Linked DNA regions of Saccharomyces cerevisiae S288C. Changing the gene in region 1 together with any one later gene gives a genetic interaction. Each region holds a gene or a part of one and is shown in the gene's direction. Other genes may lie near its edges. The genes, in order: IRC19, YHR140W, PFS1 and YDR222W.

Region 1 (2,834 bases):
TGTCCGTTGCCGTAGTTGGTGTGGATTTTATATTAGCATAGGTTTGGAAAATTCTTTTAATAGCGCATGTACCGGCAGCAGTAACTAAAGCCTTTAAATCAGCGCCAACAAAGCCTGGGGTTAATTTTGCCAATTTGGCAAAATCGATAGCACCATCAATTTTTAGGTTATCAGACATTTTCTTTAAAATATGTAACCTTGAGACTTCATTCGGGACATTCAGGCATATTTCTCTATCGAATCTACCTGCTCTTCTCAATGCTGCATCCAAAGAGTCAGGTCTATTCGTGGCACCTATGATAATAACAGGTTTTCCATTTGTCTTTTCCATCGTTAATTCATCCATTGAGGTCAATAATTGGGCAACTATTCTTCTCTCCATTTCTCTTTGGGCTCCTCCATCACGTTTTGGTGTAATGGCATCTATTTCATCAAAGAAAACAAGACATGGTGCCAAGCTTCTCGCTTCATCAAACAAATCCCTAATCTTTTTCTCGCTTTCCCCAGACATACCACTTACGACTGAAGGTGCAGAAATAGATATAAATGGGACTTGTAATTCTCCAGCTAACGCATTAGCAATCGACGTCTTACCGCAACCCGGTGGGCCATGCAACAGAACACCTCTAGGTGGTTCGACACCCGTGGATAAAAATATCTCTGGATGAAGAATGGGTAGACCTATTAGTTCCATAAGTTGTGCAACGACATCATCCATACCACCTAAGGATTTCAGAGACGAATTAGGTGGAGATCTATCTTCCTTGATTTTTTGACGTTTTACCTTACATGTACCTTCTTTGGATCTTTTTTTAGATTTTTTAACCTCTTCTGTCTTAGGATCATCAGTTTCTGTTATAGACTCGGAAACAGATCCAGATTTGGACCACGTGCTAGTTATGCGTTTGTTCATCTCATTTGTGTCTCGCTCAATCATCATATTTTTCTTAGCTAGTTCTTCTTCCAAGCTTGGTTTCTCTTCCTCTTCGTTGTTGTAACCTGGGTAAGAACCAAATTCTTCCAATTCTGATTCAATCACGTCTTTTAGCATGCGGTCAATTGTCTTTTGTAAGACAACTTTCTTAACTCTTTGAAGTGATAAATCTTTAGTCAAACAAAAGGTAAAAATCTCACCTGCTGTTAAATCTTTAGCGAAAAACATGGATTCAAATATATCCTCATCTTCTTCACCCTCGTTGTTCTCGCCCTCTTCTCCTTGGGATTCTTGTCTCAGAGACCTTTTTCTGTCCAAAGTTTTTTCTTCCAAGAGACGATAGATAAGATCGACGATCTTGTTATCTAGAGAACTTGTTAATGAGTTCTTTTTCGACTTTACTTTAACCATTATTCCAGCCTTCCCACCACGTAGCTATTATCGGCCCTAATGATCTTTTATTCTAACTGACTCGCAGATTAATTCACACATCGGTTGTTAATCATTGTTTGAATTTCCAAAATATGCGATGAGCTGAATGAAAAATTTTGGAACCTGTCACTATCGACGAACATCGAAGTTTGCCATGACAACCATATATGAAGAAAGCTTATGAGACTAGCTCGAGTATATCATACGTATGCATGTTAATCGCAGTTAAGCGGATAACACAATGCGTAAGCCTTCTATTACGATAACAACAGCAAAAGCTATTATAACTCCAGACTATACTCTTATTAAATCGCATTCTAAATACCAACTTCCTTCACGTTTTCAAAAGCTAGATGCAGACTCACCTGAGAGAAGTACAGTTGTTAAGCTATTTTACCGCCGATTTATGAGGCTTAAGCCTTTCATATCGAATGTGAAAATGGTTAAAGATACTTACAGGGATTATGTTCGATATAAGTTTATGAAAGAAAACTACGAACTCAAACGATACTTGGTATTCAATCCTGATGGCTTGAGGTCGAAAATCAATCTTGAGCTTCTCAGCAACACGAAATGTTGTGAAAGGATACTCCCCGTGACTGAGATGCAAAGAACCTTGGAATTTGTTCTGAAGAGCTGTTCATACTTGCCCGAAACAAAAGTTCAAAAGTGGGATATTGCAAGGGACAACACATATTGCAGGCAAATTTTAAAGAACCTTTTAACAATGCAATATGAAAAGTACAGATCGATTTTGCATAGAGGAATAGGCCATGATGAGCTTGACGTCAAATTCTCTCATTTGAAAACTACTTCTAGTCCGCTAACTAAGCTAAATAAAACCGAAAAGAAAAAGATTCCGCTTTTCAAAGTATTTAGTGATTTCGATACAACATTGATATATCTCAATGAGACATTAGGTACAAGGTTATAAAGATCATTATCGTAAAAGAGGAGCGGAGCGGAGCTTTTTAGTATGTATGGTAAAATATCAATCAAATACTGTAATAGATGCGGATATGCGCAATGACATATTTTGTGGTGTGCATATCCATTGAAAAGGTGCGTAGAACGTTACAATACTACTGAACTTTTTTCCTTCTCATTTTCTGCCATTTTGATATTTATGCCTATTATTGGTTTGAGCTTTATTAGAGTTGGCATAATTATAATCGTACTCGTATGTATATCCGTATCCATACCCATATCCGTTGTAATAAGTGTTTGGTATATATCCTTTGATGGCTTGGGCTCCTCCTACCGTCGTTATAACAGGCATTTTGTGGCGTTGTGGTGAGGCTCCTGATTGGCTGGTATTATCGATGGTCGTACGACTTTTGGCATTATTCATTGATCTGAAATTGCCATTGGTATTGCTATTACTGGTGTTACTCTTGCTGGAGGCAGACCCTAGAACAAATTTTTTAATTATTTTTTTAAATATTATTTTCGTCTTTTGTGTTTCCAA
Region 2 (2,861 bases), on another chromosome or scaffold:
GAGTGATGTTTAAGGTGGAAGTAGAGTTGAATAGCGTTGTGGTAGTAACGTTTGACTGGCTACCAGATACAGCAGGTCCACCCGTGATGATCACGGGGACCGTACCGCCGCCAGAAGTAACGTTCTGCCTCTTGTAAAGTGGTGTTGCAGAAGCTGTTAAAGTTGCAAGAAAAAATGCTAGCACTGATGTGAATTTCATAATAGCTGATTGGGTTCTTAGATGTGAAAACTGATCGAAATCAAATACTAGAGCATGATTGATAGGAACAAGAGAAACCAAAAGTGTTTTTAGCTTTCCTCCCAATTTTTATAGTATTCTAATGAGTAACGTCTTAGGGGAATTTTCAACAAGGCATTTCTAAAAGGGGATGCTAGTTGCACATTCTGAGAGAATCATTTGTACACGTTTTTCCCTATTTTCTGCTCATAAACCGAGGATCATCAGCGTTAAATGTAATTGCTAAGCCAAGAACTTTTGCTACTCTAACATTACATATTTGAAGGGTACAGTGAGATTCCCCAACAGGAATTCGCTTCTGTACATCAGCCGGTATTCGCTGAGAACTACTGTAGCCCTTAACTGTTGAATGATCTTTTTCTGGTAGATCATCGGCTTCTTTTGACGCAGGAAAAGGCCCGTGTCACTTCGGCTTAGCTTCTTTCGGCGATTTTCAAGGGAAGCGTCTGCACCTTAACGCAGACAAATGACGCATGATATGCACCCTTAAGGCGGACTTGATCTTCAGATCCCTCAAATGGTAAATGTGCCATAAGGTGGCCAAATTCCAACTAAAAATGATAAATAGGTAATGAATTGTTCACTATGCAGCGTTGCCACCGTTACGCCTCCCCCTTATTTTTCATTTCCGTTTCCATCCAGTTTTTCAGCCTCCTTGAACCCTACCATTAGTAATGGAAGCAATAATCTCATAGCAGCAATTGAAAAAAAAAAAGCATATTCGCTCACATTAAAATAATGAGATAACATGAGATGGCTTGGAATTATAAGCGTTCGCTGACCTGAAAAAGGCGCGGGGCTAATGGACCCATTCGTTAAAATGACCTTAAGCATCCACACATGCAGAATAAAAGAACTTAACCTATTCCTTAGGAAAGTTTATGTATTTGCTGGTACCCTCTTCCTTCTTTGGCCTCTTTTCTGACGTGAATGTCACATGTTAACATTTTTGTCAAATAGCGTCCATCTATTTGAACAAATGCTATCATTTTTGGGGATACAAATTCTATAAGAGGTTCCTGTTTGCAGCATCTAAAAACAGAGCGTGAAACGCATGCAGAAGTGACATATAATCCTTTGTTTAAGCGACAATTAAAAATAATGATCGCTCTCTTTTCCTTTTCAGACTTGCTCATTAAATTTGACAAGATCCGCGGATTAGAGAAGTCTGCGCTTCGCATTTAATGAAAAGATCTCCGATAAGTATATAAGTCCCTTTTTTCTCGAATTATATAAGTCACTTTCTATATGTCAGTGATTATCTCTACACTAGTCTTGCTGTATTCTTAGCAAATTTTTCTCGTATTTTAAAACCATAATACAAGGAGAATCCATGATGTCTTGTCTGGTACCAACACGTTTTACTTTGACCCTTAACACCGCGTGTCTTTTGACGAGCACCTGGGGGTTTGTTAGGGCCACATCTGTAGTCTTACCTCCAAGTTTAAGTAAAGCAGGCCATAAACAGTTTCTAACCATTATATCTATTATTGCAACAATCATTAATAACGCGGTTAACATTTCTAATTATTATATCCAAAGAAACAATAAGATGAATCTAGAAACCAAGAAAAAATCAGACTTTATTAGTAGACATGTCACTTTGCCAGTTTCTTTAGTATTAGAATCTATTGTTGCTACCGTTTATTGGCCGCTTAGATTGTTTTTTGTCAACTTAATAATGCATGGAGTTGAATCTACTGCAAAGACACCTTTTCCTATGACAGTGGATATGGCAATCCACTTATATCCTATTTTATATTTACTAGCCGATCACTACTTATCGGGATCTGGCACGAAATTCAAATTATCGAATAAGCATGCATGGCTCATTGTAACCAGTTTAGCATTTTCATATTTTCAATATTTAGCATTCCTGATAGATGCGGGGCAAGGCCAAGCCTATCCATACCCGTTTCTAGACGTGAACGAGCCGTACAAGTCGATTATATTTGTTGTTGTTGCTACTATTACGTGGGCTTATTATGTATTTTATCAAAAGTTTCCGCCAAAATACATCAAGAAGTCGGCAAAGAAAGGTGATAAGAATTAGCATTACTACTAGTATACTACTATTTAAGCTCTTTGTATGTAAAGTGAGCAAATCTCAAATTTTGCTACTTAATTCTTATTTTCGTGCTAGCCCTACAACGGAACCCAAAAAATCAATCACCAGGGTAAGCGGGAAAAAAAAAAAGTGTAGGAACCGCACTATAAAAAGTCGAAGGTTTGTATTAATTTTCCACACCTCTTTAGTTTTGTTATAATCAAATTCCTTTTGGTTTTTGTTTTAAAAAGGCCAACATCATAATTATATCGCGAATGTACTACTAGTATATGCAGTTTTCTTAAAATTGCAGGGAATGACTAAAAGCCCACGTTTTTCCCACTTTTAGTAGTACTGAAGCGTAGATAGATTGAACGTTGCTGGGCGCCTGGTGTTGATCATTTCTGAAATGAGATATTGGGAATCAGCTGTATCTACATTTTATTTATACATATTTATTTTTACTGGTTCTTAGTAACGTACTTTAGTAGCAATGCTGTGTTTTAGTGCGAACGCCTACGTGTCTTGTTAACTTATCATGGTTGCCAACGCGAACGTTTACAACAGGTTCAAAGG
Region 3 (3,045 bases), on another chromosome or scaffold:
GTTGAGTATAATGCTAGATTGTGGAGACGTAACAGAAATGAAACTATTATCCAGGAAACACAGGGGGAGAAAAAATTATCGATTTATGGGAATTGGTCCAAAAAATTGATTAGTTTAAATAACAAAAGTCAACCAAAACTGATGAAGTTTGCCCAGTTTGAAGATCAGCTGATTACTGCAGATGATAGAAGTACCATTACAGTTTTTGATTGGGAGAAAGGAAAGACTTTGTCCAAATTCTCCAATGGTACTCCTTTTGGCACAAAAGTTACTGACCTGAAACTCATTAACGAGGATGACTCCGCCCTTTTATTGACAGGTTCTTCAGACGGTGTTATCAAAATATACAGAGACTACCAAGATGTCGACACCTTTAAAATTGTATCCGCCTGGAGAGGCTTGACCGATATGTTATTGACACCTAGATCCACAGGTTTACTAACCGAATGGTTACAAATAAGAGGATCATTGTTAACAACTGGTGATGTTAAGGTTATCCGTGTCTGGGATGCGCATACAGAAACGGTTGAAGTGGACATTCCTGCAAAAACATCATCTTTAATTACATCCTTGACGGCTGATCAGCTAGCAGGTAATATCTTCGTAGCAGGGTTTGCAGATGGCTCCCTGAGAGTATATGATCGCCGTCTCGATCCAAGAGATTCCATGATACGTCGCTGGAGAGCTGGAAATGATAAGCAGGGAGTTTGGATTAACAATGTTCATTTACAAAGAGGTGGTTACAGAGAATTGGTCAGTGGAGCTACCAATGGTGTTGTAGAGTTATGGGATATAAGGTCCGAAGATCCGGTAGAATCGTTTGTTGATCAAAACGTAACTTCTCAGTACGGTTCGCAACAAAAACCAACGACAATGACGTGCATGCAGGTTCATGAGCATGCTCCGATAATTGCGACAGGGACTAAACAAATAAAGATATGGACGACATCTGGAGATCTTTTGAATTCTTTTAAAAACTCACATAATAATGGCGTAACAAGTACATTAGCCGCTACGGGAATCCCAAAGTCACTGTCCTACTCTTCCACTTCTGATGCATTTTTATCTTCGATGGCTTTCCATCCTCATAGAATGATGATTGCGGCCACCAATTCTCACGATTCTATTGTAAATATCTACAAGTGTGAAGACGAGAGAATTGATTATTTTTGATATGTGCCATTTCTTTTTTTTTCTTTCATTTAGCTGCAAAAGAGATATATATATATATATATATATAATCTATTATATAATAAAAGTCGAGTAAAAAATTGGTCTGATTGTGAATTTAACAGCTGGTCGCAAGTTCTGGAATTTGTTGTTAATTATTGTTTCATGTTCGTATAATAATACGATGTTTAGTAAAGCAGAAAGTTCAGAATATTAAAAGTCTGTTCCAATAGTGTAGCGGCTATCACGTTGCCTTCACACGGCAAAGGTCCCGAGTTCGATCCTCGGTTGGAACATTTTAACATCGATTTTTTTGTTTGTCATAGCCAGACCAATTACGACGTTTAGAGGCATGCACTTTGTTAAATATTTTTTCTCTCTCCTTCGACATATTTTTTTTCCTGTTTACGTAACATTCATCCCCAGTCTTTGTATCATTTTTTTTTTTTTTTGGTGATGCGACAGCAATTCTGGCCGACACAGTCGTTTTCAAAGAAAAACTACCACAAACTATGGAACATAATTGAAAACAAAAACATTTACTTATAACCTACATAATGATTGAAGATACTTCATTGATCTTTACCACCTTCCTCGTTGAAATCTTTTCTACCATAGTCAGTATTTTTGGGAATTTTATAAAAACGCAAATTTTATCGAAATGAATCAAGGTTACACACAGCTTTCCGCACCGGAACTGAAGGAGACTAAAACATCGAAGCTAAATAAAATGAACAACTTTCGAAGCTCTCCGATTGCTGAGATAATTAATAAGATACCACCAGATTGCGGGAAGATACAGAATACAACATTTCCTGAGTTCAATCCAGCGTTAAGAAGACGACAACACGAACAGTGGCCTGCATACGAAAAACCAATAAGAGTTACTGACAGTATGTCACCACAGCTTTCTTCAATCAATTGTTTGCCAAATTTGTATCCCCACGGTACGCTACCATTACCAAACCCTTATTTATCCTATTTAAATCACATTGAAAAAGTTAATTGCCAAGATGTCAAGTTTAGTAACTGGAGTGTTTTACATAATTCGAATAATGGATTTGAAATTCCGACATATTTCAGTCCACGGACAACACAAAACATGCCTTGTTCCGAAAAAGTTGAAAGCTGGCTTGAAAGATTACCAATTTTTGTGGGGTTCGACGGTTATTTATTTACAAACTGCTTTGATTATGAATATATGTTGGATTGGGAAGAGACAGAATTTACATTCGAGAAAACATCATGTATGGAGACGGATTATTCTAAAGCTTTAACCGATACTGATATTATATATATTCAAGAGAAAAAAATTGAAGCGTTGATAAGAAACCAATATCTGAAGGAGTATGAATTTTCTCAAAAAGATTTTTGAATTTTGAAGAAAGCCATTAATATTTAAATGTAATTTTGTGTAGAATTATAATAAATTGATGTTTATGTATAGATCTCTCGAAATATATTTAAGAATATATAAATAATAAATGTACAACAATAAGCATAGAACATGGAATGAGTGTTCAAACTATATTCGTTTGTTTTTTAGATAGGAGTTCTCCAGACGTTTTCATCCAAGTTTTGTTTTGCATCATTTAAAGCTGCAGCAAGAACTTTGCTTTCTTCACTTGCAGACTCCGGTTTGACTTGAGTTTTTTTAATGGAAAGATTCCTCAAACTAGCGGCATTGACATTTACATTTCTTTTCGTGCTTCTTAAAATCAAGGAATCATTTGATTCGAGATTCTCCTTCTTTATTTCAGGTTGCGATATCGATGGAACTTCTGCAGTTGAAGAGCTGATATTTTTTGCCTCTTTCTCTTCTTTTTCCTGAGCGAGAAGTTCAACTAATTGATCGGGCTCAAGTTCTTTCGCAGA
Region 4 (3,686 bases), on another chromosome or scaffold:
AATGATAAAGTTGTCAATGATAATATTAAAAAATTCAGAAAAGTTAGAAGACGGGCTGAAAAGGCTAAAATTAATGCAGATAGCAAAATTGATGATGAGCAGGCAGATAATCTTTACTTGTACTTTACAGAAGAAGTACCTCAAATTTTTTTGAAAAGAGAATCTGAGAACACGTTGAGGTACGTCATAGGAAAATCCAATTTTGTTCAAGCGCTAGTGGAGGGTAAAATTAACTATACCAACGATATCTTGGAGTATATCAGAGAATTCCGTTTGATTATGGATGATATTTCTCAGAATTACAATGTTAACTTTCAAGATGCAGGGGTCAAAAGTGCTGTCGATTCGTATAAAAACTACCTAGGTGAATACGGCGAACTGGCTGAATTAGAACCAGCTCACCCGTCAGAGAGCCTTTTGAGATCGTTGAGCGAAGTAACATCATTTGTGAACGAGAATGCACCAAAGGTATTGCCACCAGACGCTGTTGAGTCAGAACAAGATACGAACAGCGATCATATCGGTACTTCTGGAGATTTGCGCAATAAACTCAAAGAGATTCTATCTAAGCTGAATATTTTTTCATCTAGAAAAGATTTGGTCTCATTAGAGAAGAGATTCCGCTCTTGTGAAAGTCAAGTCAGTCTCCTGGAGAATGAATTAAAGCAAAAAATGGACTATAAGAAATTATTAGATGAAACTGAAGATGAAGGAACTAATTCTACTGCAGGAAATCTGACTGAGCTTTTAGAACTAATGGGATCACAATCCTATTGTCTTGACGACATACTGGACAACTATGTGTACACTATATGCTTTCAACGTCCAATGACCGAAGGTGTCATATATCAAGCTGAGGATAAGGTTGACGGTAAAAAAGTTTTGATCGGTCGTTTTAAGACATCAGGTTTTAATGTTGACTTAAACATGGAAAAATACGCAGAACATTTAAAGGCCACATATGATGAGAAGAGTGATTTGATTTCAAACTTAGCAGCTATACAGGACGATGACGGTAACATGCAACATTACGTATTCGGGAACTTAAACGAACTGAATAATGGTCTGGTACTAGAATACGAAAATGGAGACCAGTGCTGGAATGGTCCGCGCAGATCGGCTACTGTATTTGTTCGGTGCAGCGACAAATTCAAGATTCGGAGTGTACATGAAGCGACTAAGTGCAACTACATCTTCGATGTCGTTGGTCCTCTAGGCTGCAACAAGACTTTCGAATACGAGCCCCCTAAGTTCAATTTAAGTGAATGACTGGAAAATGAGTAGTTAGGCTTTTTTAGTAAGTAAACAACTAGGAAGGCCGATGCTGTGCCGTGATACTCTTTTCCGCAACAAAAGCAATATTTCCCTCGGCCAAAACGCGAAAAGACGATAAATAAGTATATCGTTCCAAATACTGATAGTTCTGTACGACCTGTTGGAATAACGCGAAAAGAAGGGTACGGCGTAATCACCCCACACGGCTTGTATTTTTTTCGGAGAACTAAGTCATAGACGTAATGCTAATTTTTCCGTCTAGCCGATGTTTATGCGGCTTTTATTTTTTTTTTTTTTTTTTTCTCATCTTTGTTCTTCCGGTTTCCAAGATGTCTCACAGATTATTACAGTGAATTCCAAAATCATGTTTACTACTGGAATTTGTATGCATATGTTTTGGCAATCTTAAGCCTACGGATTTTAAATGTGATGGATATAACGAACAGTGTTTACTGGAGACTCACTTCTCTGGGCTTGAGTTTACGATGTATAGTCATATAAAAATGAAGAAATTTCTTGAGTGACAATTGCCGCCGTACTTCGTATTGTCTTTTCTTGACAGTGAGGGCGTATAAGATACATCGTACATACATAGAGACTCATTTAGTGATGCTTGAATCGAGCAGTGATAAGATAAAGTTTGCGCCTATTAAAGAGGTAGATTACAAAAAACCGGTAAGTAAGAGTAAGAACTATACTCTTATTAATGACATCCAACCATTGGAGTGGTATTGTCACAATGATAGTGAAACGGGCTACCAACACACCATAAGTAACAAGACAGATGGTGGTAGAGGTTTATTCAGAGTGATGAAAAAATCGATGGAGACCAGAGTCGAGACCCAAACGTTATATTTCACAGATTTGCATACAGGCTTGTGTGGATTTGTTCAATTACTGTATTCTACGGTTATGGGTGGTATCTATAAAGGCTTCCAATTGAATTTCAAGGTTTTTGGCTCAGAAAGTAATAATACTGACTACGACGTTTGGGAAAGTTTTAAATTGGATGACATAGCTGAATTTCAACCATTAAAGTTTGTCTCTAGAAATGTTATTTTTGAATTTTTGAGCAACAAAAATGAAAAATTAGGTTCCATTGGCCAGTTATCTATCAAATGTGATTTACCAACATGTAACAATACAATTCAAAATTTGAAAATCGATTTGTTGGTGGATTTGTTTCAAGGTTTTAAGATGAACCCCAACGGTTGCAATTATTATTTTGACAAACAAATCTCGATGAGTGACGAATTCGTTTCCTCAGACAAAATGATCAGACATGTTTTTGTGCCCAGAGGTAAATGTAATGGTAATATTTCCTACGATAAAAAACTCAATAGTGGGGACTTTCAAAATAAAAATATTTCATTAACTGATGTTCCTGTCGTTTATCTGGACGCTGTTCAAGGTCTTTTGCCGAATAAAGCAGCCAGTAAATGGAATTTCCTATGTTTTCAGAGCGAAAACTACTCTGTTTTAGCAATTGAATTCACTACTCCTCGAGATCATGATAACGTCACCGTAACAGTTTGGTCAATTACTGAAAAAAACAAACTGATATCTATTGGTTCTTCTGTGCAGAGCCCAAAACGTCATGTTAGGTTCCGTGCTACGAGTACAGATAAGGAAAGCGGCTGGGTATATCCAACCTCTATCAAGTTCCCCGGTGGATTTTCAGAACACGACTTGAGGCTGGTTAATCGATACGACGTTCTCGGTGAGTTACCAAGCATGGTCAGGTCGTTAGCTCAGAAAATTGTGAGCATCAAACCTTTCATTTATCAATACTGTCAACCTTCTAAATATAAGCACGAGAAAGGTATTTCTATCGTTGAGAGCACCTTCATTAGTTGAACAAAAGCGTGAACACTTCCACATGAAATTCGTTTTTTGTCCTTTTTTTTCTCTTCTTTTTCTCTCCTGTTTCTTCTACCAACTTTACCTAATAATTAATGTGTAATCGAATTTTTTTACATAATCACTACCTAATAACTAATTTATCATCACTTTTTTTTTTCATTTTGAGGCCACACTTTCCCCCATGGACTATTGCATCATTGCGCCATGCTTCTTACTTGCGTAAGCCATAGAACGGAAATATCATGTTCCCCTTGCCGCATGCATATTGAAAACATCACGGGAACGAGAAGAATGGCATTTTCGAAATAAAAAGAAATCATATTTCAAATGTTGGGGAGAGAAAGCAAAGGGGAATCAATAATCATTAAGGGAAGTCGATGAAAGTTTCCTTTTCCGAACTCTACCTCGCCTTATATAAAACCTTGGTCTAAACGGATAAACCGAGATGTAGTTGAGTTTGTGAATCCAGTTCTTGTCCTTCTTCCTCTTTCAAAAAGTGAAGCAATCAGTTGAGAGTGTAGCTATAGAGGTGTGTACTCTAGAAATCA

What was found.
Region 2: mutations in IRC19 (region 1) and YHR140W together harm fitness less than expected from each alone (positive genetic interaction), as found in Saccharomyces cerevisiae (one large-scale study listed by BioGRID).
Region 3: mutations in IRC19 (region 1) and PFS1 together harm fitness more than expected from each alone (negative genetic interaction), as found in Saccharomyces cerevisiae (one large-scale study listed by BioGRID).
Region 4: mutations in IRC19 (region 1) and YDR222W together harm fitness more than expected from each alone (negative genetic interaction), as found in Saccharomyces cerevisiae (one large-scale study listed by BioGRID).

Annotation. Positions count from the first base shown.
Region 1 is NC_001144.5:71,802-74,635, forward strand, and holds IRC19 (Irc19p), read left to right. Parts: upstream 1-1,607; coding exon 1,608-2,300; downstream 2,301-2,834. Other genes in the region: putative AAA family ATPase RIX7, read right to left, coding at 1-1,345; YLL032C (uncharacterized protein), read right to left, coding at 2,469-2,834. UniProt on the Saccharomyces cerevisiae protein: Involved in sporulation and maintenance of the mitochondrial DNA. Is probably involved in a pathway contributing to genomic integrity.
Region 2 is NC_001140.6:379,001-381,861, forward strand, and holds YHR140W (uncharacterized protein), read left to right. Parts: upstream 1-1,571; coding exon 1,572-2,291; downstream 2,292-2,861. Other genes in the region: SPS100 (Sps100p), read right to left, coding at 1-199; YHR139C-A (uncharacterized protein), read right to left, coding at 1,108-1,419.
Region 3 is NC_001140.6:474,127-477,171, reverse strand, and holds PFS1 (Pfs1p), read left to right. Parts: upstream 1-1,831; coding exon 1,832-2,545; downstream 2,546-3,045. Other genes in the region: ubiquitin-binding TORC1 subunit KOG1, read left to right, coding at 1-1,173; SSP1 (Ssp1p), read right to left, coding at 2,713-3,045. UniProt on the Saccharomyces cerevisiae protein: Involved in the pathway that organizes the shaping and sizing of the prospore membrane (PSM) during sporulation. Required to localize MPC54 to all four spindle pole bodies, and localize DON1 and SPO14 to four prospore membranes.
Region 4 is NC_001136.10:908,170-911,855, forward strand, and holds YDR222W (uncharacterized protein), read left to right. Parts: upstream 1-1,884; coding exon 1,885-3,132; downstream 3,133-3,686. Other genes in the region: GTB1 (Gtb1p), read left to right, coding at 1-1,269.